Linked DNA regions of Ovis aries. The protein of the gene in region 5 purifies or fractionates together with the protein of the main gene of each other region. This does not show direct contact. Links are inferred from orthologs where the notes say so. Each region holds a gene or a part of one and is shown on either strand. Other genes may lie near its edges.

Evidence for each region.
Region 1: the proteins of EIF4G1 (region 5) and EIF3I purify together in Homo sapiens (affinity purification with mass spectrometry; 5 studies listed by BioGRID and IntAct, counting the BioPlex papers as one, with this or other methods). This does not show direct contact. The link is inferred for Ovis aries from reciprocal best matches to the Homo sapiens genes EIF4G1 and EIF3I.
Region 2: the proteins of EIF4G1 (region 5) and MKNK1 purify together in Homo sapiens (affinity purification with western blotting; 3 studies listed by BioGRID and IntAct, with this or other methods). This does not show direct contact. The link is inferred for Ovis aries from reciprocal best matches to the Homo sapiens genes EIF4G1 and MKNK1.
Region 3: the proteins of EIF4G1 (region 5) and EIF4B fractionate together in Homo sapiens (co-fractionation; 4 studies listed by BioGRID, with this or other methods). This does not show direct contact. The link is inferred for Ovis aries from reciprocal best matches to the Homo sapiens genes EIF4G1 and EIF4B.
Region 4: the proteins of EIF4G1 (region 5) and EIF3H purify together in Homo sapiens (affinity purification with mass spectrometry; 4 studies listed by BioGRID). This does not show direct contact. The link is inferred for Ovis aries from reciprocal best matches to the Homo sapiens genes EIF4G1 and EIF3H.
Region 6: the proteins of EIF4G1 (region 5) and EIF3G purify together in Homo sapiens (affinity purification with mass spectrometry; 3 studies listed by BioGRID, with this or other methods). This does not show direct contact. The link is inferred for Ovis aries from reciprocal best matches to the Homo sapiens genes EIF4G1 and EIF3G.
Region 7: the proteins of EIF4G1 (region 5) and PDCD4 purify together in Homo sapiens (affinity purification with western blotting; 3 studies listed by BioGRID and IntAct, with this or other methods). This does not show direct contact. The link is inferred for Ovis aries from reciprocal best matches to the Homo sapiens genes EIF4G1 and PDCD4.

Annotation. Positions count from the first base shown.
Region 1 is NC_056055.1:235,303,153-235,305,876, forward strand, and holds the end of EIF3I (eukaryotic translation initiation factor 3 subunit I), read right to left. Parts: intron 2,219-2,724; coding exon 2,108-2,218; intron 2,000-2,107; coding exon 1,910-1,999; intron 1,599-1,909; coding exon 1,525-1,598; intron 1,012-1,524; coding exon 919-1,011; intron 791-918; coding exon 709-790; 3' UTR 548-708; downstream 1-547. Other genes in the region: myotubularin-related protein 9-like, read left to right, coding at 1-118, 192-325. UniProt on the Homo sapiens protein: Component of the eukaryotic translation initiation factor 3 (eIF-3) complex, which is required for several steps in the initiation of protein synthesis.
Region 2 is NC_056054.1:21,168,022-21,172,208, forward strand, and holds the start of MKNK1 (MAP kinase-interacting serine/threonine-protein kinase 1), read right to left. Parts: upstream 2,807-4,187; 5' UTR 2,640-2,806; intron 1-2,639. UniProt on the Homo sapiens protein: May play a role in the response to environmental stress and cytokines. Appears to regulate translation by phosphorylating EIF4E, thus increasing the affinity of this protein for the 7-methylguanosine-containing mRNA cap.
Region 3 is NC_056056.1:133,421,481-133,425,797, forward strand, and holds the start of EIF4B (eukaryotic translation initiation factor 4B), read right to left. Parts: upstream 2,823-4,317; 5' UTR 2,621-2,822; coding exon 2,608-2,620; intron 1-2,607. UniProt on the Homo sapiens protein: Required for the binding of mRNA to ribosomes. Functions in close association with EIF4-F and EIF4-A. Binds near the 5'-terminal cap of mRNA in presence of EIF-4F and ATP.
Region 4 is NC_056062.1:60,694,506-60,698,127, reverse strand, and holds part of EIF3H (eukaryotic translation initiation factor 3 subunit H), read right to left. Parts: intron 1,619-3,622; coding exon 1,462-1,618; intron 1-1,461.
Region 5 is NC_056054.1:203,656,366-203,660,779, forward strand, and holds the start of EIF4G1 (eukaryotic translation initiation factor 4 gamma 1), read right to left. Parts: upstream 2,830-4,414; 5' UTR 2,761-2,829; intron 1,941-2,760; 5' UTR 1,884-1,940; intron 1,663-1,883; 5' UTR 1,629-1,662; coding exon 1,569-1,628; intron 1,277-1,568; coding exon 1,190-1,276; intron 87-1,189; coding exon 1-86.
Region 6 is NC_056058.1:12,527,522-12,531,858, forward strand, and holds the start of EIF3G (eukaryotic translation initiation factor 3 subunit G), read right to left. Parts: upstream 2,923-4,337; 5' UTR 2,873-2,922; coding exon 2,853-2,872; intron 2,705-2,852; coding exon 2,658-2,704; intron 2,063-2,657; coding exon 1,979-2,062; intron 1,871-1,978; coding exon 1,782-1,870; intron 1,638-1,781; coding exon 1,578-1,637; intron 410-1,577; coding exon 305-409; intron 201-304; coding exon 11-200; intron 1-10. UniProt on the Homo sapiens protein: RNA-binding component of the eukaryotic translation initiation factor 3 (eIF-3) complex, which is required for several steps in the initiation of protein synthesis.
Region 7 is NC_056075.1:30,964,577-30,968,198, forward strand, and holds part of PDCD4 (programmed cell death protein 4), read left to right. Parts: intron 1-1,139; coding exon 1,140-1,442; intron 1,443-2,996; coding exon 2,997-3,091; intron 3,092-3,622. UniProt on the Homo sapiens protein: Inhibits translation initiation and cap-dependent translation. May excert its function by hindering the interaction between EIF4A1 and EIF4G. Inhibits the helicase activity of EIF4A. Modulates the activation of JUN kinase.

The DNA.
Region 1 (2,724 bases), on a different chromosome or scaffold from region 5:
CTGTGGTCTGGGCTCAGTCAGCCAAAAGAGCAACGAAAGCTCCGGAACCCACTCTACGTCCCCAACCCCCTGGCTATCTGGCCCTCGGCGGAGCCCCAGAGCCTGCGACTGTGGCAAGGTGACCCTCCTCCTCCTCCCTGGCGGAGTTCTCGCCTCTGCTCAGCTTCCTTACCTGTCCTCTTCCTCCTCAGGCCTGTTTCTGCGCGGGACCCGTCCACCTGAGCCTTCAGAGGTAGCGTGGGAGAAAGTGTGGCAAATAGTGACGGATCAGGAGAAGACAGAAGGCTCTCAGCCAACAGATTCAGCCTCTGAGGCTGGACCCTAAGTACTGGTCCTTAGATGGTGTTTGAGATGTTCCTGGAAGCTCTCCAGGCCCCTCAGCACCTCTGGATCTTGGAAGAGAGTGCCTACAACCCAGCCTGGATCCACATGTGAAGTGTCCAAAGTATAGGCGGAAGGTCCAAATAATAAAGGCATCCATGATTGGTATCAGCTGGTTGGGGTGTCACTGAGAAGGGAAAACAATCAAATATCTGACCAGAAACCATTTATTTCCAAACTAGTTTATTTCATAGAGTCCAAAAGCTCCTGTGACCCTGGCTCAGATGGAGGTCCGGCTTCCTTGGGTGTGTGTGCGGCTGCGTGGTGATTGCAGATCACCCGTGCCCCCTGTAGAGGAAGCGCCAGGGAATTCCCAGGTCTGGCTTATTAAGCTTCAAACTCAAATTCAAAGTACTGTGGGTCGAAGTAGTGGATGCGGACGTAACCATCTTCGCCACCGCTGCTGTAGCTGCAAAGAGACAGCCAGGGCCCAGTCAGAGGCCTGCCCTTTGGGAAGCAGGCCTGGGGGACAGGACGTGGGAAAGGAGCAGAGGTGGGCAAACCAGGGCTGGCTCAGCCCCCTTCACCAGGCCCTACCTCTTGCCATCAGGATGGAAGGCAACACTGTTGATAGGTCCGAAGTGACCCTTGACTCTTCCAAACTCTTCTTCAAAGGCCAAGTGGAAGAACCTAGAGGAAAGAGCAGGGTGGGAAGCAACAGTTCATTCAGTCCCCATCTCCTACGAAAACACGTCAACGGGAACCATTCCCCAAACAAAACTATAAAGCAGGGAAACTGGGATAAGGGGGAAATGAATGAGAACAAAACAAGATGAAGTTGGGAGAAGACTGGACCCAAATGTCTTCCTTGCTATGTGCTGGGCAGTGCTCTTAAAAGCGTCACAACTATTAACTTATTTAATCTGCATACTGTTATGAGGTAAGTATAGTATCACTGTGCCCATTATACAGTCAAGGGTGATTGGGCATAGACAACTCCAATGATGTGCAGGGCTTCAGAGTGAGCCCAAGAGTTCATGCTCTTAACTACTGTATCAGACACTTGTCACAGGAGGGCCCCCAGTCTGGCTGCACTCCCAACAGCCAGTGAATTAAGGAAAGTTTCCTTGGTTATCCGGTTTCTGGCCATTGTGAGAGACACCTCATGATGTTTCTGTTTGGAAGCTCTCCTTCCCCCTTTACCTGGCCTCGAACTTGCCAATCCTGGTGGAGGTGGTAGTTACATCCATGGCTTCCTGACCACCGCCCAGCACCACCTGAAGGGAAGAAACTCTAGATGGGTCCAAAGAGCAGGCAAGTCCATTTTCCATTTCTTCCCCCAACCCTAAAAGCCTTTAGTATCTCCTACATCAGACTGGGAAGATATTAAGGGTAAGGAACAAACATCCCTCAGCCACCTCCTGCCCTGCCCCCAGAGCTTCCCCATCATTCACCTTTGTTCCTGCTCTGAGATCTCCTCTCTGCCTGACACTATTTTCCCCCAAAGCTCTTTTCTTAATTGCTAGACAAACAGCTAGATCCTGGAAACAAGGAGTCTTTAGCAAGAAGCTTGTCTGGGTTTCCTCACATGATCGTAGTTGGGAGAGAGGGCAGCTGAGTTGACAGGTCGTTCTGTCCGGAAAGTCTTCTGGTGTTCAAGGGTTGTGGAGTCGAAGAGCTAGAGAGAAGGCAGAGGAGATGTCTCTAAAAGGAGTCTTCTTGGGGGAAGATGAGAGCCCTGCGGGAGGGTAGGAGCAGGCCTGCCAGACTCCTTGCCCAGGCTCACCTTGGCAGTGTTGTCCTTGGATGCAGTGACGAACATGGTCATATCCCTGGATAACTGGATGTCATTGATCTGCCGGGAGTGCTCCTTAACATTCACCAGTACCTCCCCAGACTGCGGACAGAAGAGGGAGGCTCTGACCAGCTCCATTCCCAGCACCCCAGGCTCAGCCAGAATTCTGGACTCTTTCTCATCCCATGAAGGAGGGGGAGGTCAGGTGGGGTCTGCCTTAGTATCCCCTGAATCAACATTTACTCCCACTACCAAGCCCAATCTGGCCCAAGTGTGCAGGTTTCATAAACGCTGCTAGTCCACCTAGGAAAACACACACTTATGGTGACACCTATTAATTAATCATCATGTAACAGTAGAGCAGTTCCATTTAGTCCTTCTTCCAAAAAACACTGAATGGCTACTATTTGCCAGAAGCAGAATATGAGATGGTTAGACAGCCTCACTGACTCCATGGACATGAATCTGAGCAAACTCTGGAAGATAGTGGAGGACAGAGGACCCTGGCATGCTGCAGCCCATAGGGCTGCAAAGACATGGACACAACTCAGTGACTGAATAACAGCAGCAGCAGCAACACTATCTGCCAAGCACTGTGCTAAGCACTT
Region 2 (4,187 bases), about 180 Mb from region 5:
CCATGCAGTTTCCTGGGTCACTCATAGGCCAAGCTCCTGGGACTTCCAGGGTAATCACCTCATTTTCCCGTGAGTGCTTGTGCTCTTGGGAAATGCAGGGACCCAGGTACCCACTGGAATTTAGCCACATGAACTGTGATCCTGACCCCAGACCAAGCACTAAGCCTGAGAGTAGGCTAAGCACTCAGCTTTGGCTCCAGGCTGAACTCTGACCTGGCCTTGACCTTGGTCAATTTGAGTCCTGAATGCTAACCCAGACTAAGCCTTAAAAAGAGCCACAAAGGCCTTGACACAAACACACCTTGACCTCAGAGCTCACACTGGAGTATTTTCCTTTCTCACATCTCGAGTAATACTGGGTCAGGTTTGGGGAAAGGAGGGTGGGAACAAGGTGACAACTGGGTGTAACCAAAGGCACATGTGGGTTGTCACGTCAGACAACAAGTCAAGCTAGTGGAGAAGTTTGAAACAAGGATTCCTCTCTGTGCACATAACACACAGCCAGAAGGGCAGAAGTCAAGTAAAATGAGAGGAGTTTGGAGAGTAGGGGCAGGTCTCCCCACAGGATCTTGTCTTGAAAAAATCCTCTAAGATGTGGCAGGTCATCCATCTGCTACCCCTCAACTTCTCACCCAAATAAGTCCTCAGTGTGGGACCCAAGCTTCCTGACCCTAGATATTTCCATACTTCACATATGCCCCTGCATCTAAATTCTGCTTGGGGAACTTTTTCCTGTGGGTTCCTTGGGGAACCCATCCAGTGGTTAGGACTCTGCGCTTTCAATGCAAGGGGCGTGGGTTTGATCTCTGGTCAGGGAACTACGATCTTACACATTATGTGACATGGCCAAGAAAATTTTTTTAAAAAGAAAAAAAAAAAGAAATTCACCTTATTCTTAGGGCAGGAGCTTCCAAAATCACACTACAATTAGTTGGGTCCCTGGGCTCTCCACCTTTGCACATCCCCCCTCACTGACAGCTACCAACAAACCTACTCTCGCATTCAACATCTCATCCTAGCTTTCTTGCCCCACTTCCCTAGAGCCACCACTCTGGGCTTCTTCCTGATCCACGAACAGCTCCCCAACTCCTGCTTCTGTATGTTTTCTTACACTGGTCCCTGGGCTTAACTCCCGCCCTCAAGTTGAACACTGCCTCCTCCCATAGCCTCCTCTACTGCACCCTGATCTCTTTGTCCTTGGGTGGAGACTACTCTTTGGTCATTTTGTCCTCCACCGGCTTCACCTCCCAGTCTAGGTCAGGCCTGGTACATACTGGATGCTCAGGCTTTGTGGAAAGCTCAAAAGCAAGAATCATTGAGTTGAAATAGCCCTGAGAAATCAACTGGCCCAACTCACTTCTTGAATGGATGAGGAAACTGAGGCCCCATAAGAGGACTTTAGGAGCCTGGGTTCACACAGCAAGTCACAAGCAGGGGATCTCCAGTGGCACAATGGGACACTGGGATAAGGTGGGGCATGACAACTGGTCAAGGGCCATTTTCCTGCCCTAGCTGCGTGCCGCTGGTCTGGTAGAGATAAGGAGAAAGGAGGGGAGTGAAGGAAAAGGGGAGCATCTTCCCATCCACTAGACCAACTTAATTGCTGTTCCCCCGACACACTGTGCCTCCCCCACACTCCACAGCAACTTGGGTGTCCTAACCAGGGAGCTAGGGTCCCACCTTCTTGCTGCAGAATGTCAATGCCTGGGTCTTTCCCGGGGGAAATGAAAGCTTGTGAGGGAGGGGACATGGATAGACGCCCTTGTATCCAGGCCACTTGTCTGTTTTCACTTCCCACTCTCATCCCTTTCAGTTCAGTTCAGTTCAGTCGCTCAGTCGTGTCCGACTCTTTGCGACCCCCTGAATCGCAATAGCCAGGCCTCCCTGTCCATCACCAACTCCCGGAGTTCACTCAGACTCGTGTCCATCGAGTCAGTGAGTCTCTTATCTCACAGAATCTCTGTCCCCTCCCTGGAACCACGGCTATTCCCCCTCTTGGGCCCCGTTTCCTAACTCTGGATGTCCTTTCATTCCTAGAGTGGCCAGTGATGGCTCACTCCCTGGGTGGGCATCTGGGTTTCCCAAATAAAGGCCACAGAGGAGCCCTGCCTGCTTCTGACACTCAGCCCCTGCCAGGGCCACACCTGCCGCTCCTCCAGTCCTGACCCAGGATCCTGGCCCCAGTTGGAAACCAGAATCCAGCCTAGAGTAGAGCGATGTGTATTAGCGAGGTGGGGGTGGGCGGGAGCGCTGAGAGCAGAAATCCAAGAGAAAAGTCGAGGCGAGGACTCCGAGCTCCTCCCCGTGGCGCTCGGCCACCCACGACCACTCCTCAGCCTCTCCCAGAACACCTGACGCCGCCATCTCCCCAGCCCAGCTGCCGGGACAGATGGGTAGTAGGACCCAGAAGAGCAGGCCTGAAATTTCCGCCTGCGAAGACACGCCCTCTTCAACCGACGCGCCCCCACCCCACCCTGACTTTCCAGCTCCGAGTCCCGGACCCCGGAACCAGGGCTGTGGGCAGCCTGCTCCGGGCGCAGGTCGTCTGGGGATGGTGCCAGGCCGGGACAGCCGAAGAAATGAAAGTGGAAGAGAGGCTGGGCTGTGTGCGCGGCGGGGCGCCGGGGGATCTCACTCACGGGGTCCGCCGGGTGGGTTAGCGCGAGTCCTCTCTGGTCGCGGAGTCACATCCCCAGCGCGTGGTCCTCTCCTCCCGCCGGTTCCCGGCCGTGCAGGTCTCGGGTGTCCGCCTGCCTGCCCCGCCGAACCCGCTGTCGCCCTCCGCCCCCAAGGCGACGCCAGCTCCGCCCAGGCCCTCCCGGCCCCGCCACGCTGCGGCCAAGGGGCGGGGAAGGGGCGGGGAGAGAGGACCCCCCCTCCCAATACCTTCGCCTTTCCGGAAAGTCCATATCGCTCCCCCAGCTTCCCAGGACCAAAGGACGAAGAGCTGGTTCTCTTAGGGTCAAGGAGGCAGCCTCAGTTTCCTTGACTGTAAAATGGGGACAAACCCATTTTATCTAGCTCTGTCTGGAGATGGATAATGGTGGTTTCCTTGCCCTCCTGGAATCTTCTGTGTTTCCCTTGTCGCTGAGCTCAATTAGAGGTCAGATCTGCCATCCACTCCCATACCCTCAGCTCCTGGCAGAGTGCCTGGCACACAGCAGGCACTTAATACCCATTTGCTGAATGAATGAACGAACGCCTTGGGAACCATTACCTCAGCACTCAAAGGACTGGCTCCCAAGAGTGCTCAGATCAGACTTTCACCTCACCCACCAGCTCTGGGGCTTTGGCTCAGGCTGGGCAGATACTCCTCACTCCTGGGCCAAGTCATCCCATTCCCACCCTTTGCCCCCACCCACCCACATTTTTGTTCCAGCTATTCCCACTTTGGAACATCTTTTTTCCTTCCTTTCTTCTAATCAGATCCAAACCCCTCAAGAGTTGTTTTGCATCCCCTACTTTTCCACCTGGGTTCTTTTCCCTGCAGAAGCACAGAATGCACTCTGTGGGTCCCAGGCCCAGGGACCAGTAGGCAGGCTCTTCCCTGGGAGGGAGGGAGGGTGGGGGACTTCTGCAGTAGGAGGGCCAAGGCAGACAGATGGGCTGCAGAAATTACTCTGGAGGGGTGCTGGAGGGGAGCAAGTGGGGAGAGGGGCAGGAGGCATTTACATGGCACAGATACCCCACTGGGCTCCTCTTGTGTCTGGAATGTCTGCTTGCTGGATGGCATAAGAACACACTGGATTCTTAAAAATGAACTAAAGATTCTTTTTTTTTGGTTGGATACCTATTTTTGCCCCAGTCTAAAGCTGCCACTCTCTTTTTTCCCCAATATCTGAGTCTCAACTCTGCCCAGATCCTCTATAAGCGAACATTTGCATGTTCTAGTGTATGGAGAAGGAATTCAAACCTAGTCCTTCATTTGTTTGATATCATGATTAATACCCTTTACTGAATGTGACTTTGTGCACTGAGGACGGGGAGATCAGGTGATGGAGCTGACCCAGTGGTGACCTTAGGTACTGACGGGTCAGCCCGGGGTGCGGTGGGAGACCAACACACAGAGATAACACAAGGTCAGAGCTCAGCCATCCAGATGTGAGAACTTGGTTACGGACTGACAGTGAGTGAGCACTTGGTAAGCGTGGCGTTACCAGCAGGAAACACATGGAATACCCAAAGAA
Region 3 (4,317 bases), on a different chromosome or scaffold from region 5:
CCATTTTAACTTTCACCTTCTGAATCTGGGTATCTTACTCCCAGAGTAACAAACATATGGTACAGGAAGGGGTATGAAGATAGGTAATACATGAACTGCATATAATAGCAACCAGTGAAACCGTTTTTAACTATAGGAGTCAGCACTCTATGAAAACCACCATTGGACACTATCTTACCATAAAAAATAATCAAACAAGATGCCACATATAATGGCATTCTGAAGTGTTATGCAAATAAAAGGCCTTGTGTGCACACAGGTACACTGTTAACAATCCCAAGGCAGTCTAGTCTCACAAACCACTAACCCATGTCAAACACATTTGATCCCCTATAGGTAAGGACACAGATGCAATAGTTAGCTTTGGGACACCTCCAGTTCTTGAAGTTCAGTAATTAGTCACACTGGATACTGTATTATTGCAAAGAATTTTTTGGTTTCATTTAAAAGTAAAAGGGAGTGGATATATGTACAGTTATAGCTGTTTCACCTGTGTACAGCAGAAACCAACGCAACATTGTAAAGCAATTTTCCTCTAATTAAAAAAAAAAGTAAAAGGCCTGTTAAGTTTTATCATGTTTCTTCACAAAGAAAATATAAGATGTTTTTTCAGGGGCCATCAAGAAGTATATTGAAAATAGATTAATTTTATAGACCCATTAACACAGTGGGCCTGTATTAATATAATTATATACCAAATCAATACAATGGGAAAAGATCCAAAGTGGGGAAAGAAATTTGATAATTTCTCAAGGGCTGTCAGATGTACCATTGTACCCCAGCATAAGTGTCCCTTATATGTATTACACAAGCTAAAAGATTCATGTAACTGTATTAAAGGAGATGAGGGCTTCCAATTGGGTAGAGTGGAAGAAGAGACCTCACTAAGCACATCTGTTTTACTAGTCTGGACTTTATTTACACAATGCTATCGGCGTCTTTCACCTCTAAAAAAATTCCACACAAGTTATACAGAAAAGGAAAACAGGCTTTTCACTAATTATGACACTGAGACACCAGGACGGCAAATTCAGGCCAAAATACTTCAGATGAAGCTCCTGGGCAGCATCCCAAACTTATGATGATAAACCAACCTTGTTAGTCCCAAGTTGATAATGGGAGAAGAACGAGAAGTTTCAAAGATTGCAACCTTACTCTGCCATCTGCAGATAGTGACCTTGAACGAGTAATTTTCATATTCCTCACACAGGAGATAACCAACATCTGCCTATCTCACAGAACATCAAATTAGACCACACACAGAAAAGTGCCAGGTCAATTGTCAAGTGCTACGCTAGTGAAAGGTATTATGCTCAACTGCACGTTAATTTCCTCAATATTTTCCAAAGGCATACATCTCTATGTAAGAGAGAAGAGAAATTCTTGGTGAGAAATCAGTGTTCAGAGATAAGTCGTTCAACAAATGTTTTGTACAATGTAGGCTCACACCAGGGAAAAGAGATCATATCCCCCATTCTAAAATCACTGTTGACAAAATGTTGGCACAACTCTCTACTAAGTCCATCAGAAGTGCAGGCAGACTTACATGAAAGTGATATTTCCTCTCATTCTAAACAAGAATTCAACTCCAGCCACTAGTATTCTTCTAAAAGCAACTCCTAGCAGTTGTGCAGTTACCCTAAAAGAAAAAGGCCCTACCCTACTGCTGCGGCTATCAAAACTCAACCAAAACGGAAGCTGTCAAGGGCTCTGATCTTGGTCACCACTGGATCCCCAATATCCAGAAGCATGCCTGACAAATATACAGTTCACACTCAAGTAAAACTGTGTTGACTGAGTAAGAAAAAGTCCAGAAGAAATCTAGGTCTCCACCCTGTTTCCTCTCCTCCAACACGTGGGCGCATCACACCGGATTCCCTACCCCCGTCTTAACTCTAGCAGCGCCAACCTCCAAACCTAATACATTTACCCTTGGAAGAACATAGGGGCCGGATCACACTCTAGAAGGGGAAGAGCAAAAAGTGGAAGGACCTAAAGAGAAAGCAACACAGGCGAGTAAAACCTTCCCATCTGGACTCTCGCGCGTGCTTTTCAGGCGCGCCAGTCTCCAGTACCCTAGGCTCTCCGACCGCGCACGCGCACCGCCACCTTCCTCCGCCCCTCCAGCGACTCGCGCTCGGGTTCTAACTGCCCCCCCTTTATTCCCTGCCCCCACTCCCGTCCGCAACGGCCTCGCGCCTTGGAGACCTAGTTCAGAGTGCACCCGTCCGCGCGCCAACCGCCTCCTTCCTTCCTCCACGCTTTCACGCGGGCACACTGCTTCACGTCTATGAGAAGGCCTACATCTCCCGCTGATCTTTCTGCGCCTCCTCCTCACTCCAACTCAAGCCAGAGTCTACCATTACTCCCCAGTCCAACCTCGCGCAGATGGGGTGAAAAGGGTGTGAGGGGGGAGGGGAAGGTCCTTCCCCTCCCCCCAAACATCCCGAGGCAATAACCTAACATGGCCCAGCCGCCAGCCTGCCGCAGCCCCAAAATCCGAAGGGAAGAGGTGCCGCCCACCCCCCGACTCCGAAGAATCAGTGGATCAGGCTCGGAGAGTCGCTTCGGAGCCTGGTCCTTGGCCGCACTCGGCCGCTCACTCACCTGAGGCCGCCATGTTGGGAGAGGGAGAGAGAACGCAAAGGACCCGGATGAGGCAGTCACGTGATTAGAGCGAGCGCGTCGGGCTAGGAGACGCGAAACTGGGAGGGGTCGGGGAATTAAGGAGGGACACAGGAGGCGGGGCGGCGCTCCTCTAGGTTCGTAAAGCAGCGCGAGGAGGTGACGCGGCATCCGACGGGAAGACCTGCGCGACATGTGGCCAAAGGGGTGGGGCCTGCGCTGTCGCGAAACCCCTCACGCTTTACGTAGGGCGACGCGCGGACAAGGGGCAGGTCTCAGCCTGGGGCGGGGTCTCCTGAGCCGCAGACTTCCTGCCTGTGCGGTAAACGGAAGGGGTGGTGCGGCGTTGTCAAGTTCCACCTCTCTGGCACCGATTGGAGGCGGGCTGGAATCCAGAATTGGCGTGCCCCAATTGGTTTCCTGGGAAGATTCTGAGTTTCTTTGTAAATCGCTTTTTGTTAAAGCAAAATAAACCACCATTCTGCTTAAGGATGGTTTTAATTGGGGATGTTTAGAAGGAAAAGAAGGTAACATTCATCACTTACTTGCCATGGTCTTTTACTAAAAGTCTTTTAATCCTTCGTTTTGCAAACTAAATTCAAACTCAGGCCCTTAGGATTTCACCGTCTAATGCTATCTGCGCTTCCTCTTGTTGCCAGGTTGTCCTTGAGACCCGGTGGACTGTAGCCCGCCAGTCTCCTCTGTCCATGGAATTTCCCAGGCAAGAATATTGGAGTAGGTTGACATTTCCTTCTCCAAGGGATCTTCCCCATCCAGGGATGGAATCCACGTCTCCTGCATGGGAAGAACGATCTTTTACCAATAAGCCACCAGGGAAACCCCATAGGTAGTAGTTCATTCAATGAAAATTTGCTTTGCACTCCTACCACGTGTCAGGCGCTTTTATTGGCATTTTGGGTATAACTGGAGAATAAAACTCCAAAGCATGTTATATAATTCAGTGAGGGAAAGACAGACAATAAGCAGTAATTAAATGAAATATTAGAAATGTTAAGCACTCTAGAGGTAATTAAGGTAATTTGATAAAACTGATTTTGTGCAACTTAAATTGCATGGTCAGGGAAGGCCTCTGAGGAAGCGACATGTGAACTGAGATCTGAGTTACAGAGAGCCAACCCCCTGAGGAACTAGATCAAATGCTCCAGGACAGGAACATGTTGGCAAGTTTGAGTCTCAGTTTGGTGACCGGAAGGGGGGTGGGCGGTAAAAGATGAGGTTTGAGAAATATGTTGGGGTTCAATCATGTGAGGCTCTGTGAATCAGGTTTAGGAGTTTGGATTTTATTCCAAGTGGACTGGGAAAGCGTGGAAAGATTTTATGCAGGGGAGTGTGAGGACTTGAAATAGTTTTGTAAAGGGTTACTTACTATCTTGATATGGGTGATGGTTACATAAGTGTATATTTAAGTACCTCAGATTGTACACTCAAGAATTGTGCGCTTAGTGTATAGAGGTCATACTTTAAACAACAGTGATGACAACAACAGGATTACTCAGTTTACTGGATGGAGAGTGGGTTATACACCTGCACTGATGGAAAAGAAAGATCAGTTAAAAGGTTCTTGGTGCCAGGACCTCATAATGTCTTCATGGACCCTAAGCACTTTTGCCTTCATAGGCCCTTTTCTCCTTTTAAACAGTGTTAACATTATTTGCTGCACTGGGTCTTCCT
Region 4 (3,622 bases), on a different chromosome or scaffold from region 5:
TACTATACGTTCAAGGTACTATGAGGACATGAAGTCAAATGAGATAACATTTTACCAAAGTTAAAAGTGATCAATAAAATGAATGAAAGGAATTTAAAAAACAATCACATTTACAATAGCATCAAAAAGAATAATATACTTAGGAACAATGCAGCAAAACACTTATATGCTGGAAATTACAAAACATTGCTGAAAGACAAAACAAAAGGAAAGGACATCCATCTCGTATTCCTGAACTGGAAGATTGAATACCGTTACACTGTCCATAACACCCAATGTGATCTACAGGTTCAATGCAATCCCTAGCAAAGTACCAATGAAATTTCTTTCTTTTTTTCTTTTTCTTGCAGAAATAGGAAAAAAATCTATCTAAATTCTTATGGAATATCAAAGGACCCTAAATAGCCAAAATAATGTTGAGAAAGAAAACCAAAGTTGGAGACCTCACACTTCTTGATTCCAAAACATACTATAAAAGCAACAATAATCAAAAGAGTACAGCACTAGCATGTAATTCCTAGAAGAAAATATATGGAAGAAACTTCGTAATACTGGAACCTTCATAACACTGGTCTTGGCAATGATTTCTTGGAGATTACACCATAAGCACAGGAAACAAAAGCAAAAATAGACAAGCTGGATTGTATTAAAGCTTCTGTGCAACAAAAGAAACACCAAAAGTGTGAAAGATAATACCTGCAAACTATATATACAAAAAGGAGTAAATATGAAGAATATATAAAGAACTCCTTCAACAAAGCCCTAAGAAATTAGCAAAAGACTTGAGAAGACATTTCACCTTCTAAAGAAGACATAAAAGCAGCCAACAAGCATATGAAGAGGTGCTCAATCACCAATATTAGGAAAATGTACATCAAAGCCACAATGAGAGACTGCCTCACACCTGTCGGAATGGCCATCATCAACAAGACAACAAGTAAGTGCTGACAAGAATGTGAGAATTCGGACAACCTAATTTTCAACTAGATTTTTTTAAAAATCCTTTAGGATGCTGACCTTGGCCTTTGGTAGGATCTTACTATTGGCCTTCGCTAACAAAGCAATTACCCCTGCAGCACAAAGATTCTGAAATGCTCAAGGAGTATCTTCTTTCTCAAGTAGACAACTCATCTCTTCTTAAACAGTAAGTCAAAAAACTACGGAAGGAAATGGTTGTGGGACATAGCAACGATTTCTGTCCTTCACACTGTAATTGGTAAGCTGCTTTCACAATGAGAAAGTTAACATCAGCACAGCTCCTACCCAAATTATCAGAATCACAAATCCCGAATAACTAAAAGCCAAACTAATCAAGTTTTGATAATACAACTTCATTTCAGAGAATCTGTAGAATCTTTTTCAAGAGATGGAGAACTAGGTTACTCTGATGAACTCCCGGTAACAATTATCAAAGGTTACGGCGAACACTGGATCAATAACCATTTGTGTGAATACCCTTACCTTCATCAAAGTCAGCATCATCTTCAGTGTGCTGAGGGAAAGGAAAGCAGTTGGTAATCTCAAGTCGATCTTCTACAACAAGGCCCAAAAGCACTCCTTGAACCACCTCAGTTCCTTGTCCTTCTTCCTGGTAATGTTTGATAATCTTTAATACCACCTAAAAGAAAAAAATAAAAGTTTAAATATCACTCTTACAGTTTACACTTCCTTTATTTCAAAGAAAAACTAAAACTATACTGATGAACCCATAGTTATATGACAGAACTGACCAAATTTCTTACAAACCATTTCCTTTACCCTTACATAAAAAAAAAAAAAAAATCTTACATAGTCTAAATGTACACCTGAAACTCTTGGAATCTGAAGACTTGTCAGAAATGTCCATGTGGGCTTCCCTGGTGGTTCAGTGGTGAAGAATCTGCCTGCCAATGCAGGAGATCCAGGTTCAATCCCTGATCCAGAAAGATCCCACATGCCATGGAGCAACTAGGCTGGAGAGCCACAGCTACTGAAGCCTGAGTGCCCTAAAGCCTGTACCCTGCGACAAAAGGAGCCACTGCAATGAGACGCCCCCCACAGCACCAGAGAGCAACCCCCACTCACCGCAACCAGAGCAAAGTCCGAGCAGCAACAAAGACCCAGCACAGCCAAAAATAGATTAAAAATAAGTAAATAAAATTATATTCTAAAAAGTGTCCATGTAGAACACTCACAACCTTTAAGTCAAAGATGCTTAAAGGTCTGGCATCCAAGAATTCCTTCAGTTGAATCTAACATTACCACTTCAACCTGAGACTATTACAGAGAAAGTGACCCTGCTAACCTTTGTTAACAGCAATATCCTGCCACAAATGATAAAAATATCAGTAAGACACAGAGATAAAGATCTCAATTATCTGAACATCTAAAAACAGAACCCTCTGACAAACTCTCAACACCTCAAGATGGTTCCTGCACAGAGCATCTCATTAATCAGAGGAAGCAACAACAGGAACACGTATCCAAGAACTTGCTTGGTAACAGAGAACATAATGACAGCCCAGTCACCAACACTACCTAATTTTTCTCAACAATAAGGATATACCAAATAACCTCTAATGGAATAGCCAGCTCTTCTATTTACTCTCTCCTTTAATATTGCCATTAAAATGAAGAGGTACACTGCATGACTGAATAGGCAATTAATTTAAAAGTTCACAGTAACAGTCATGATTAATAATAATTCCTACAACATGAGACTGTTAATATATTAATGGGCTTTGAACAGTGCTTGGCACATAGTATTATTAACAGAAGCAGTCTGTATTATTCAGTACAAGGACGTGGCCCAAAGACTAAAGGGCAATATAGTCTAAAATACAATGGAAAGCTATCAGAGGGAAAAATAAGTCTAAGAACAAAATGGGAATTAGAGTTTTACTGATTAGTGTTTAATTTAAAACAAGTATATTATTGATAGAAATAAATCATCAGTAACCAGTTAATAATACAGGTTACAATTATTGAACATCATGTGCCAGGCAGTATTCTAATTATTATACTGGTATTATCAATCATGGAATCCTCATAAGTACCTCAGGAAAAAGCATTATATTATACTCATTTTACAAATAAGAAAGCTGAAGCAGAGAAAAGTTGAGTAAATGGCTAAAGATCATACATCCAGGAAATGGCAGAACCAAGATTTAAACTCCAAAGCTTATGGGCATATTTTAACAAGAAGATTATTCTCATATCAGCAGCTTAATTATTAAAACCATGAGTTAGGAACAGACATGAAGCAAAGACTCTGTGATGAATGGATTCAGAAAGACTTTACACCAGTTTAAGATCCAGACCTTCAAGAACAGCAAGCAGTCAGCAGGGAAGAGCTTACTGCAGGACACCAACTAGACCGGCAGACCTTCAACACTGTGAAGTGGAGAACGTGCATAAACCGCACACATTTCTGTATAAAAGATCTCTCCATTTCTTGAAAGGCACAAAAACAGGCTCTAGGGGTCATGCAGGAAGAGGAAGAATGGTTTCCAGCTCTAGCATTTATTAGCTGTGACCTTGGGAAAGCTATTTAATCTTCCCAAGTCCTAGATTTCTGACTTGCAAAATGGAACCATTTCACAGCATTACTTAAGACTATTAAAAATGAGAAAAATGTACAGTT
Region 5 (4,414 bases):
GCAGCTGGGCCAGGGCGGGCAGGGGCTGCACTCTGCACTCGGGAGGCTGCACTGCTCGGGGGCTGGGCCCGGCTAGGGTAGAAGTGCTGTCAGGAGGGAGGAAGGCAGTTGGCACTGGGCAGGGGAGGAAGTGGACAGCAAAATGGCCATTCCACTATGTCTCTAGTCTGGAGAGAAGTACCAGGGGCTTTGGAACATGGGACCAACACTGCCAAGACTCACTTGACCAACTGATGGTTAAGTGGCCTCTTGAACTCACGTGTGCCCTCCAAACTCAGGTACACACTTTGCACTCGGTATATTTACTCCCTCCCTGCCATGCATACTCATGTCACCTCCTCCACGCTATCCTTTAGCAGAGGCTTCCTAACACCCAGATGCATCATGCCTAAGTAAAGCCTTTTTCAGCAGCATACTCCCCAGCATGCACTGCACCATCCTAACGTCCTGAGGAGCTAACCGCTAACATGCAACTTTCCCAGTTCCCAGATAGGCACTATGCAAGATTTAGCCCCTAACATGCACTGGTCAGCCTCAGACTGAGGACCTGGACAACCAACAAGTCCCCACCCTGAGGAACCCCAGTCCCTGCGTCTAGCCCCTGACTAGGGAGGAGGGTAAGGGTGAGACCAGGAGAGAGTCCAGGATTAGCAAAGGGGTATTACCTGCAGAGACCTGAATCCTCCCTGAGAGCACATGGGGACAGGAAAGAAGAGAATTATCCCCAAGGTGATGAGGGGGAAAAAAATGAGGAGGCAGGACAAGAATCCGCTCCCATTTAGTGAGGAAGAATTTAGGAATAGAGAAAGGTAAGAACCAGCTGGAATGTTTCTCTTCCCACAGTCCAAAGAGAAAGAAGGGATGAGGAACGGAGCAATGGCGACCTCCTAGTAAAAGGAGGAAATAGGAAAGCAGGAGTTGGCAGCAGGGCCCAAAGCGCTGCCCCCAGTTCTCAAGGCACCAGAACCCCTAGCAATGCCATCCCCACCAACAACATACTCTCCGAGGGGCCAGCCACCGTGAGTAATCAACAGTGCAAAGTGCAGAGCCGCATGAAAGAACACATAGCAACTGTCAGGAAACTGGGGCAGGTACAGGGCCTCCAGAGTTTCCATCCTAGGCCCAAACTGGCCTAAGCTTTACATGGCTCCCACCCAGGCCCCCTACTCCCCTCCCCACAGCCCCTCACCTGGCGGGGCTGAGAAGGCGTGTTCATTTGTGTCGCTTGAGGCGTACTGAACACCACCGGTGCTGTCTGCCCCGGGGGAAACGCTGGCTGAAGGGGGGAGACCAGATTTCAGCAAGAGGGGAAACCCAGGTGGTGCAGAAACTCAAGCTGATGAAGGGGAGCAGATCCGTGGCAAGAGCCTCAACAGTCCACATATACCCTCCCCAAGACAGCCCCTGGGAACAGCCTGGGGGCCCTGTCTCAATTTGGCAGCAGGAAGCTGCACTTTGCCCTGACACAGAAGGGGGTGGGAAAATCCAGAGGTTGGAACCTGTTCCTGACCCGGCTGCCTGGTCTCCCCAACCCCCACCCCAGTCCCTGTTAATTCCTCCCTAATTACCTGTGGGAGTCCAGGGGATGGGGCAGGTGGGGGGCCTGTGGGCTGTGGAGCTTTGTTCATTTCATTTGGTGCCACATCAGGGTCCCCCCAGCACCTGTTGGGAAAGAGTGAGGCTCAGAAAAGGAAAGGGACACAAACTTAAGGCAAATGGAGTGGGGGAGGGGTTGAAGCAAGGGCTGGGTCCCACAATGAGCCCGGGAGGCGCCAAGGGGGTAAAGGAACATTAAAGACCCAGCTTATGTCCCCACCAACACTCCGTCAAACCCTCACCACCTCCAACCACCCCTCGATCTGCTGAAACAGCCCTTCACTCACCCCCTCGGTTAAGAACAAATCCACGGTGCGGCCTACAGGTTCTGGGCATCCGAGGGCCTGGGGTTGGGAGGTGAGGGGTATCAACCTGGCTCCGCGGGGCCCAAGACCAACCAGACCGGAAATTCCAGGTCTCGCTGGCACCAGGCTCCCGGATCACAAACGGAGCTAGCAGCTTCGGCCGTGGTGTCCCCACCCCCCACCCGGGGACACCGGGTTCGGGGCCTGGCCCAGGGGCACACGAGGCACGCCTGCCGTGGGTAGCAGCGGAGGCACCCACGCGGGGCCAGAGGCGAGGCCTGCCGCCGCCCGGCAGTGGAGGCCAGGAAAGGCGGCAGTCGGGCCGTAAAAGGCCAGGCGGGCGGCGGCCGAAGAAGAGCCGGTCTGAAGCAAGTGAGGGTCGGCCCGGAGGGCGGGCGGGGCCGGGGGCTCCTCCCTGCCCGCCGCCGCCGCCTCCCTCCCCTGCGCCCTCCCTGCGCAGCGCCGGCCAGTGCCAAAGAACAACGTGTCACTTCCCGGCGGCCGGGCCGCAAAGGGGGGAGGGGGCGGCGGGCCGGGAGCCGCGGTGCCTGCGCCCGCGAGGCCTCCTCGGGTCGGGCCGAGGTGGCACTTAGCGGCCGGGAAACCCGGCGCCCTCCCGGCCTGCGGGGACCGCATATTCCGGCCCCGCGCTCCCCCACCCCCACCCAGCAGCCAGGCCGAGCCAGGCCGGGCACACGTGGGCCGGGGATCGGGCCCTGGCGGGCCGGGGCCCGGGCTTGGGCCGCGGGGCCAGGGCGCTGGGGCGGCGGCGCAGGGTAGCCGATCCCGGCCCGGATGGCGGCGGATGCGGGGGGAGGGGGTGGGGGGGCCGGGTCGGGCCCGGACATGGCGGCTTTACCTTCAGTCTCCTTCAGTCCGCGCGGCCGAGCCCCACGCAGCCGCACAGACGTAGTCCACAACCATTTCCGGCTCCCCGCACGGATCCCGCTCGGCGGCCACCGCTTCTCCGCAGGCGCAGCCGGCAGCCCCACGTGACCGGCGCAGAGGGCGGAGCAGCGCCCGGCGCCGCGGAGCACATGGGATTTGCCCCGCCTTATCATGTGACAGCCACTGCCCGCCTCTTGTCCCCTCCCGAACTTTGGAACTCCCAGGCCGACCCGTCTCCGCGTCTGTGTTCCGCGATTCTTTGGTTCATTCATACTTTGAGCAAGCATTTATTGAGTGCATACTGAGTGCTAGGCGAAGTGCTGGCTGAGGGTTGAGAATACTGACATTAAAGACTCGGTCCCGCCAAGTAAACCATGGACAAAAACGGAAAAAAAGACAAATTAGGTAGCCTTTGAAAATAATGTAAATTAGATATAGAACTATTAAACTGGGTGATAACGCTAAAAGAATTGAAATATTCTAAGTAGGGAGTAAGGCAATGGCACCCCACTTCAGTACTCTTGCCTGAAAAATCCCATGGACGGAGGAGCCTGGTTGGCTGCAGTCCATGGGGTCGCGAAGAGTCAGACACGACTGAGCGACTTCACTTTGACTTTTCACTTTCATGCATTGGAGAAGGAAATGGCAACTCACTCCAGTACTCTTGCCTGGAGAATCCCAGGGACAGGGGAGCCTGGTGGGCTGCCATCTATGGGGTCGCACAGAGTCGGACACTGAAGCGACTTAGCAGCAGCAGCAAGTAGGGAGTTAGATTTGTCTTTTACAAAGATCAGCCACTCCCAGGGAGGGACTAAAATCAGTCATGGAAAGTTCAAATAGTGATGGGATAAGTAAATCCAAGACCTCTCCCTGGCAGCCAAAAAATTTTGAACTGCCTGAAGGGACATACTAAAGACAAAACTGCTTAGAGTCAGCCTGGTTTTAATCCAAATTTCTCTGCTTACTCTCCCAGCGATGTACCTACTACCTCCCTACTTAATACTTGTTGTAAAATGGGAGTATTTGAAACTATGCAGTCTGCCTCAATTCTGAGCTTTTACCCACCCTGCTTTCCCGCTATTGGATTGTGAGGTTTAAAAAAGTTAGTTCTTGTGAAAGTGCTTAAAACTGTGCCTAGGTACCTAGCAAAAGCTATTTTCTCTCTCTCCTTCCCACCCAACTCTTTGTATTCAAACACATATAATCTCAGAAAACATGTTGCACCAATGATGACCTTTCTGATTTCAGTTAATCTTCACAATAGCCTACAAAATGTATTGTATTACTATGCATTGTATTATTATCCCCATTGGAAAATAAATGCAAAAAAGCAAAGTGACTGTCTGAGGAGGCCTTACAAATAGCTGTGAAAAGAAGAGAAGTGAAAAGCAAAAGAGAAAAGAAAGGATATAAGCATCTGAATGCAGAGTTCCAAAGAATAGCAAGGAGAGATAAGAAAGCCTTCCTCAATGATCAATGCAAAGAAATTGCATTGAGGAAAACAATAGAATGGAAAAGACTAGAGATCTCTTCAAGAAAATTAGAGATACCAAGAGAACATTTCATGCAAAGATGGGCCCGATAAAGGACAGAAATGGTATGGACCTAACAGAAGCAGAAGATAT
Region 6 (4,337 bases), on a different chromosome or scaffold from region 5:
GTCCTGGCACCTCCGGGGAGCTTCTCCTTCTCGCCAGTGGACAGGCCCAGCTGTTCGGCCAGCTCCTTCTGCATGGGCCCCAACGTGTCCTTGTAGGGGCAGCGGGTGGTCCAGTGGTCACCCTTGCAGATTCGGCAGGACACTATCTTCTGGCCCTTGAGCTTGTTCATTGGGTCCTCCTCTTCCTGGCAGTTCAGATCCTGGCAGGGCAGGTGGTGGCAGTTCAGACGGTAGTTCAGCTGCTCCCCTGCTGCCTCCAGTAACACCCTGGCCACTGGCTCCCCCTGCCAGCCACCACACTTACCTCTTTGCTGGTGATGAATGTCATGGATACATCATCGCTGACTGTGGTGGTGGCTACGTTGGGCCCCGGTGGGTCAAATTCTGAGTTCCCAAACTTCTTCCAGTTCTGAGCTCAAGGCAGGATGGGGGACAGGTCAGGGCAAGGACAAGTGGGACCCCCTCCATTTGCACCCTAGACTTAACAAGAGCCACCTTGAGGGTGAGTGAGTCTTGAACCCTATTCACCGCCCTCAAATGCTCCTTGGAGAAGCGATGATGACAGTTGCTATTCCCTGAGGGCATGCCAGGCCCCAGCTCCATGCCAGCTCCAAGAGTAGGGGCAGCTCTCAGCCTCATGTTACAGATGAGAAAACTGAGGCTCAGGGGTAAACAGGTCCAGAGCCAACAACCCCTGGCAGGGGCTGACCAGCTTCCACCGAGTGATACTCAGGGGTGTGCAGGATCACCCAGATTTCCAGGGGCCTTGAGCTCCTTAAACAACCTGTACCTTGGCATCCTCCCCTATAAGGGACCACAATGCTCCCCACACCTCCCTGGAATGCTAGGGGAATGAATGAGAAAATACTTCCCACGAAGCACCTGAGTCTAACACCGAGTATGTAGGTAACTGTGCAAAACGTATTTACTGCCATCACTTCTGCTGCTACGACCACCTCACAGGAGGGCTTTGGCTCTGTTCCTCCCAGGCGACAAGCCGAGAGAAGTAAGAACCAACCCCTCCGCTCCCACTCCTGCACCTGCTGGACTTTTCAGGGCCCCCACGGACTGCACACAGGCCTCAGTTCTGCTCCAACAGAAGAGGTACACCCAGGGGACTTCCCCGGTGGCCCAGTGGTTAAGACTCCGCACTCTCAATGCACAAGGTGTGGTTTCAAGCCTTGCTCGGGGAACTAAGATCCCACATGCTGTGTGGTGCAACCAAACAATTAGAAAGAAACAAAAAAGCATCAGTCTCTCAATCATGTCTAACTTTTTGCGACCCTATGGACTATAGCCCACCAGGCTCCTCTGTCCATGGAATTCTCCAGGCAAGAACACTGGAGTGGGTAATCATCCCCTTCTCCAGGGTACCGTCCTGACCCAGGGATGAACCAGCATCTCCTGCATTGCAGGAAGATTCTTTACCACTGAGCCACCAGGGAAGCCACCAGGAAATTGTTTAACAAACAGTTAAACCCCACTTCTAAAAATGAAGGCAATAGGGAAAAGAACTCCTATTTTTTCTTTGAGTCAGCCCTGGAGGAGCCCCCAAGGAAGGGGGAGAAGGGTCTTACCTTCCTCCTTGCCACAGCCTTTGAGGCCTTCCGGGTCTCAATTCTGAAGGTGCGGACGATCTGTGGATAGGAGGGGAAACGTTTGGGCCTTCTGCTCCTCAAGGTTCCTAGCAGATCTTCCTCATCAAGACATCCAACACACCACTCTCTCCCTAGTCCAAGTGCCCCTCAAGCAAAGGGCTCCCACCTCTTCCCCAGCCTCACCTTGAACTTCTTGCCATCCTCATCTATCTTATACTCCGTCACTGTTTTGATGTTTCCATTGATGACCTCCTTGGGAGGTGGCAGTGGAGCTGGGAGAGAGGAAGAGACAAAGGAACTGAGCCCTGGGTAATAGGGACCAGAAGGAAGGAGGCTGGGGAGAGAGACGGCCCAGGGCTGGAGTGAAGTCGGGCACTCACCTCCCGGCAATAGCTCAGGCTCTGGACTGGTATCCCCAGTGGCCAGGGGGATCCCCTTGAGGAGCTCGCTGGTGACACATTTGTCTGTGACAGGGAGTGGAGGGAGCAGGGGTCAGCTGGGGGGTAGGGGTGGGCAGCGACAGGAACTCCCAAGCTGAAATCAAGGGACCTTTGGGATGATGCCTGCACCAGGAGCTGAGAAAGGTGGGACCAAGGGCAGAGGACTGGCCAGGAAGTGTCTTGGGATAGCCATTCAGGGACACGGAGCTGGCCGGTAGTAACTTCCAGCAATGAGAAGGGGAAGGGGATCCTTGGCCTGAGGGCCTGAGGGCCTGAGGGCCTGAGGGAAGGGGAGGGCCACAGGCATCCGGGCAATAGTATTAATACAAAGGCAGGAGTGTGGCTGTTAAACAATTTCCTGCCAGGAGCAGGGAAGCAGAAGTGCTGGCATCAAGGACTTGGGCGGTGGCACGGCAGAAGATGGGCTGGCTGGTGAACGTATGGAGTTGGAGATAGGCTGGCCCAGATGAGAGTGGCGCGGGGCAGGGGCTGGCTGTGAGGGGAGATGCAGGGTCTGACGGCGGTGCCAGGGTGGAGGATCAGAGCAGGCAGCAGTGACGGCCTGGGGCGGCGGGGGGAGGCCGGGCTGCGGTGATCCGAGGCGACAAGGTAGACTCACCGTCCTCTCCTTCCTCTTCCACCTGGTCCGCCCAACTGGGCTTCGAACTGCGGGGACAAGTTTGTCAAAAGGAGGGATGAGTGAGGCGAGGCCCAGCTCCCGCGGCCTCAACGCACCCAGGCTCTATATTAACTCCTAGGACCGCCCCCCATCCCCGGTCTGCTTACCAAACCCCCTCCACGACCCCTGACTCACTCAAAGTCTCCGGTCGGCATCGCAAAATCTCCACGCAGCCCAAGCCTGGGCCAAAGACCGGAAGTAAGAGGTGAAAGAGACTTCCGGCTCCGCTGCCTAGAGCAGCCGTAGCACTCCACAGCGCCCCCTACGGACGGAGGTAGAAGCGCCGCCTATGTGAGAGGCTGGGCCCTGGTATCTTACTATTAGAGGCTCGGCTCATTTACCTGAAAATCTTATTTATTTATTTATTTATTTGGCTGCGCTGGGTCTTAGTTGCGGCATGTAGGATCTAGTTCCTGGACCAGGAGGGCCTGCATTGGGATCACTGAATCTTAACCACCGGACCTTTTCTTTTACTTTTTTTAAAAATTAAAAATAATGACAATAAAGCTCAATTATATAGCTCTGACTGTTTGCAGGAACTGTGAGGAGGAAATTATCGTTTCCATTTTTCAGCTGAAGAAACCAAAACTGGTCTTCCTTGCCTGGAAATAACTTTTCTGATTCAAATGATCAAGATATCAAGTCACCCCCTAACTATTCTCCCTCCTTGAGTAACTCCCCCCCCCGCACTGTGAGGCTTGCAGAATCTTAATTCCCTAACCAGGTATCAGAACTGGGCGCTGCAGTGGAAGTGCAGAGTCTTAACCACTGGACCACCGGGGAATTCCTAGTAACATTCTTGGCTCCCTGATATAATCTTTTCCATTTTCTTTAATTTATTGCTTATTGTCCAGCGTTCCCTCTACTGTATGCATTCTCAGTGGGAGTGATATGACTCCCAAGGGGACCAAAATTAATTGTTCTGTGGCAAAAAAGAAACAAACAAAAAAAAAACCAACTTGGAGATGACAATGACTTGTGGCCTCCAAAGCCAACCCTCCCAGACAAAATCTTATTTCTAAACATTTAATTTCTATTGTTAGGGAGAAATTAAATGTAATTAGATTAACACTGATTTAAATGGAAGATAATTCCATTTTTCTCCTTTAGAGGGATGATAATGAAAAAAATGGTAAAAACTGCTGCAGACTTCTGCAGAAACACATTTGCCTGCTTTGTTCACTTCTGGGTCCCCAGCACCCTCAGGGTGTCTACACTTGATAAGTGCTCAATTCATGGGTATTTGGAACCGACAGGAACCAGATTATAAAGGACTTTAAAAACTAGACTAAAGATCATAGTCTCTTATATATATATTACATATATATACATGTATATATATATAACATATATAACATTTTTAAAAATATTTATTTTTATTTATTTGGCTGCATAGAGTCTTAGTTGTGGCACGTGGGAACTAGTTCCCTGACCAAGGATCAAACCCAGCCACCCTGTATCTTGAGCACAGAGTTTTAGCCACTGGACCACCAGGGAATTCCCAGCACAGGCTCTTTATCCTGCAGGCTGTGGGGTGTGAGTGAGGCGCTGACATGTTCTGAATGGTGACCCAATGTGACCAGATTTTCTTGTGAGAAAGATTATTCTGGAAGCCTGTAG
Region 7 (3,622 bases), on a different chromosome or scaffold from region 5:
AAACATTGTTCATTAACATTCAGTGCCTTCGTTTACTTTCCATGATACTGTGAAGAATAATCCTGTTTCAGTTCAGTTCAGCTCAGTCAGTCAGTTGTGTCCAACTCTGCAGCCCCGATGGACTGCAGCCCGCCAGGCTTCCCTTTGCATCACCAATTCCCGGAGTTTACTCAAACTCATGTCCATCAAGTCGGTGATGCCATCTAACCATCTCGTCCTCTGTTGTCCCCTTCTCCTCCTGCCTTCAGTCTTCCTCAGCATCAGGGTCTTTTCCAGTGAGTAGGCTCTTCTCATCAGGTGGCTAGAGTATTGGAGCTTCAGCTTCAGCATCTAGTCCTTCCAAGAATATTTAGGACTGATCTCCTTTAGGATTGACTGGTTTGACCTGCTTGTTGTCCAAGGGCTCTCAAGAGTCTTCTCCAACACCACAGTTCAAAAGCATCAGTTCTTCGGCACTCAGCTTTCCTTATGGTCCAACTCTCACATCCATACATGACCACTGGAAAAGCCATAGCTTTGACTAGATGGACCTTTGTCAGCAATGTCTCTGCTTTTTAATACACTGCCTTGGTTTGTCAAGAAGCTTTTCTTCGAAGGAGCAAGTATCTTTTAATTTTATGGCTGTAGTCGGTGTCCACAGTGATTTTGGAACCCAAGAAGATAAAGTGTGTCACTGTTTCCATTGTTTCCCATGTATTTGCCATGAAGTGATGAGACTGGATGCCATGAAATTAGTTTTTTTGAATGTTGAGTTTTAAGCCAGCTCTTTAGTTCCTCTTGCTTTTTGCCGTAAGGGTGGCATCATCTGCATATCTGAGGTTATTGATATTTCTCCCGGCAGTCTTGATTCCAGCTCGTGCCTGGCATTTCGCATAATGTTAAATAAGTAGGGTGACAATATACACCTTTGATGTACTCCTCCTCCAATTTTGAGCCAGTCCATTTTCCATGTCTGGTTCTAACTGTTGGTTAATTGTCATTTATTAGATTGAGCCTATGAAATTGCCAATATGTGACTGCTACATATAAAAATGATAATTTCATATGATTCAACCTAATCTAACTTATGACTATAGCTGGTATAGCAATAGTTAAAATGCTTACTTAGATTTCTTTTTTTCCTTCGTTTTGTTTTTAAGATCCAGATAATTTAAGTGACTCTCTCTTTTCTGGTGATGAAGAAAATGCTGGGACTGAGGAAATAAAGAATGAGATAAATGGAAATTGGATTTCGGCGTCTTCCATTAATGAAGCTAGGATTAATGCTAGGGCGAAAAGGCGGCTGCGGAAAAACTCATCCCGGGACTCCGGCAGAGGTGATTCCGTCAGTGATAATGGAAGTGAAGGCCTTAGATGTGGAGTAACTGCACCAACCAGTCCAAAGGGAAGGTTGCTGGATAGGCGATCTAGATCTGGGAAAGGACGAGGATTACCAAAGAAAGGTTGGTATATATCTTATACAAAGAAATAAAAGGAAGAGATGCTTTCTGATTCTTGTACTGCAATTTATTGTTCTAAGAATGAGAGGAATTTAAGCAATGATAATGTAAGGCTTTATGGTTTGTATGTATTTTTACATAGTAATAATTCAAGGATCACCCCACTCTTTAAATTGAGCCTTTTTGCTTGTTTGTTTAGGTTTAGCTATCTTAAGCAGAACTTTGTCTCATATTTCCAGCAAAATCATTTTCACAGTTATGACTTGTGCATGTATTCTCTAATTCTGCTTGAAGTAGGGTCAGAAATTCATCATACCTATTATCTAATGAATCTAATTAATTATGTCTTGTTAAGAATACGTGATAAATACGATTTGACTCTTAATATCAGGGTCAGAATTTTAATAATTTTGTAGATCTGTTTCTAAGTTCTTTTTAGTTCTGTTTATTTTGGGTACTGATATTGTTTTACTGCTGTATCTCCAGGGCCTGGAGTAGTGACTCCAAGGGTAGGTACTTACATGATTGTTGACTTGAAGGGTCTTGTTAGCCGCTGTCTGTGGTAGAATTTTGATGCAGTTTGGAGATTTCACTTGCATCTAAATGGTGGAAGCATCAAATTATGGCCTAGGATTCTTGTAAAGTTTTTGTACCTTGTCAAAAGTTGTCATTGAATGACTCTGCAACCATGGGCTGGATCAGAATGAAACCTAACTACCAGATTTGTTTTTGCTCTGGTGGTAAGAATTATACTCAATGTGTAAATAATGCTCCCCGCCATGGGTGATAAAGTTCTTTTAAAATATTGCAACATATTGAGCCTTATAAAAACATTTCAAGACATTTATTTAGTAAAGCAACTTTGAAAGTTGGAATTGTTAAACTTCTGCTGATCTATTTGTTGGTAGAAAAATAGAAATGATTAATTCGGTTAATGCTTATATAGAAATCAGTTATTTGTAATATATTTCTGGCTGTAAAGTATTTGTTACTGGTGGGCTTAGAGGGTTGCAGTCGGACACGACTGAGCACACGCACATGAATATCTAAAGAGAATTTGACTTTAAAACATTTGATGGTGGTCACCATACTTCTTTGCTGAATAATTTCTCTGTTGTTTTCTATGTCATCTCTTAACTGAATCAGTGTATTTCTTTTTGTTGTTCCCAAGAAATGTCAGAATTCAGAGCCCAGTTGTTATCAGCTGCCTTGAAGTTACCGTTACAGCTATTTTTCTGTTTGTTTGTTTGTTTTGTTTTTTACTTTTATTTTAAAGCATCTGACTTTTTAGTTTTAACTTTGTGAGCTGTTTCAACTTGGTTTTTTGGAACTAGGTTATAAATATATCTAATCATTACTGGAAAAGCAGTGATCTGAATAAAAAGTTTACCGTATAATTCTCAACTGGCAAAAAAAAACTGGCATAAAAATTAAAATACAGTTTTTTAACTGCTCCTTAATTAACACCTGAACATCTAGAACTATTTCAGATTTCAATTAAAATTTATGAACTGTGGACATTATGCTGTTTCCTTTCTCAATTCTAAACTTTTTCAGGTGGTGCTGGAGGCAAAGGTGTCTGGGGCACTCCTGGACAGGTGTATGATGTGGAGGAGGTAGATGTGAGAGATCCCAACTACGATGATGACCAGGTATGAGGGTGATACTTTTTGTGATATGTACTTAGAAGACTTGCAGACTCTTTTGACCTCATGTTTGTAGCATACTCATATATTGGTCAAATCATCTATTCTATATTTGTATTATTCATATACATATAATTTTATTTATATGTGTGATTATCTGCATGATTATATAATATGTATATGAGTTGTATATAAGTGTGTACACATGTTACATCCATTCGTATATATATCTAAATCGTATGTATATTCAGTACTTTCAGACTATTAGGTTAATTTTGGATTAGAAAACCAAGTTAACTGAGTAATGTATATGTAATTTTCACTTGATTTTTAAATTTAATATTTGGACATGGAAATGTTTCTAAGAGAACATGAAAAAAATATGTTTTAAAATCAGTAGGATTCAAGTACTGTAAAATGTTTGCTAAATACTCTAATTTTATTGTATAAACTTGAAAGTGTTTGTTGTTAGATGAAGCCAGTCACACGTTGCAGGCAAACACTTCAGGACTTTTTTTGCCAAGGACAGGGTTAGAA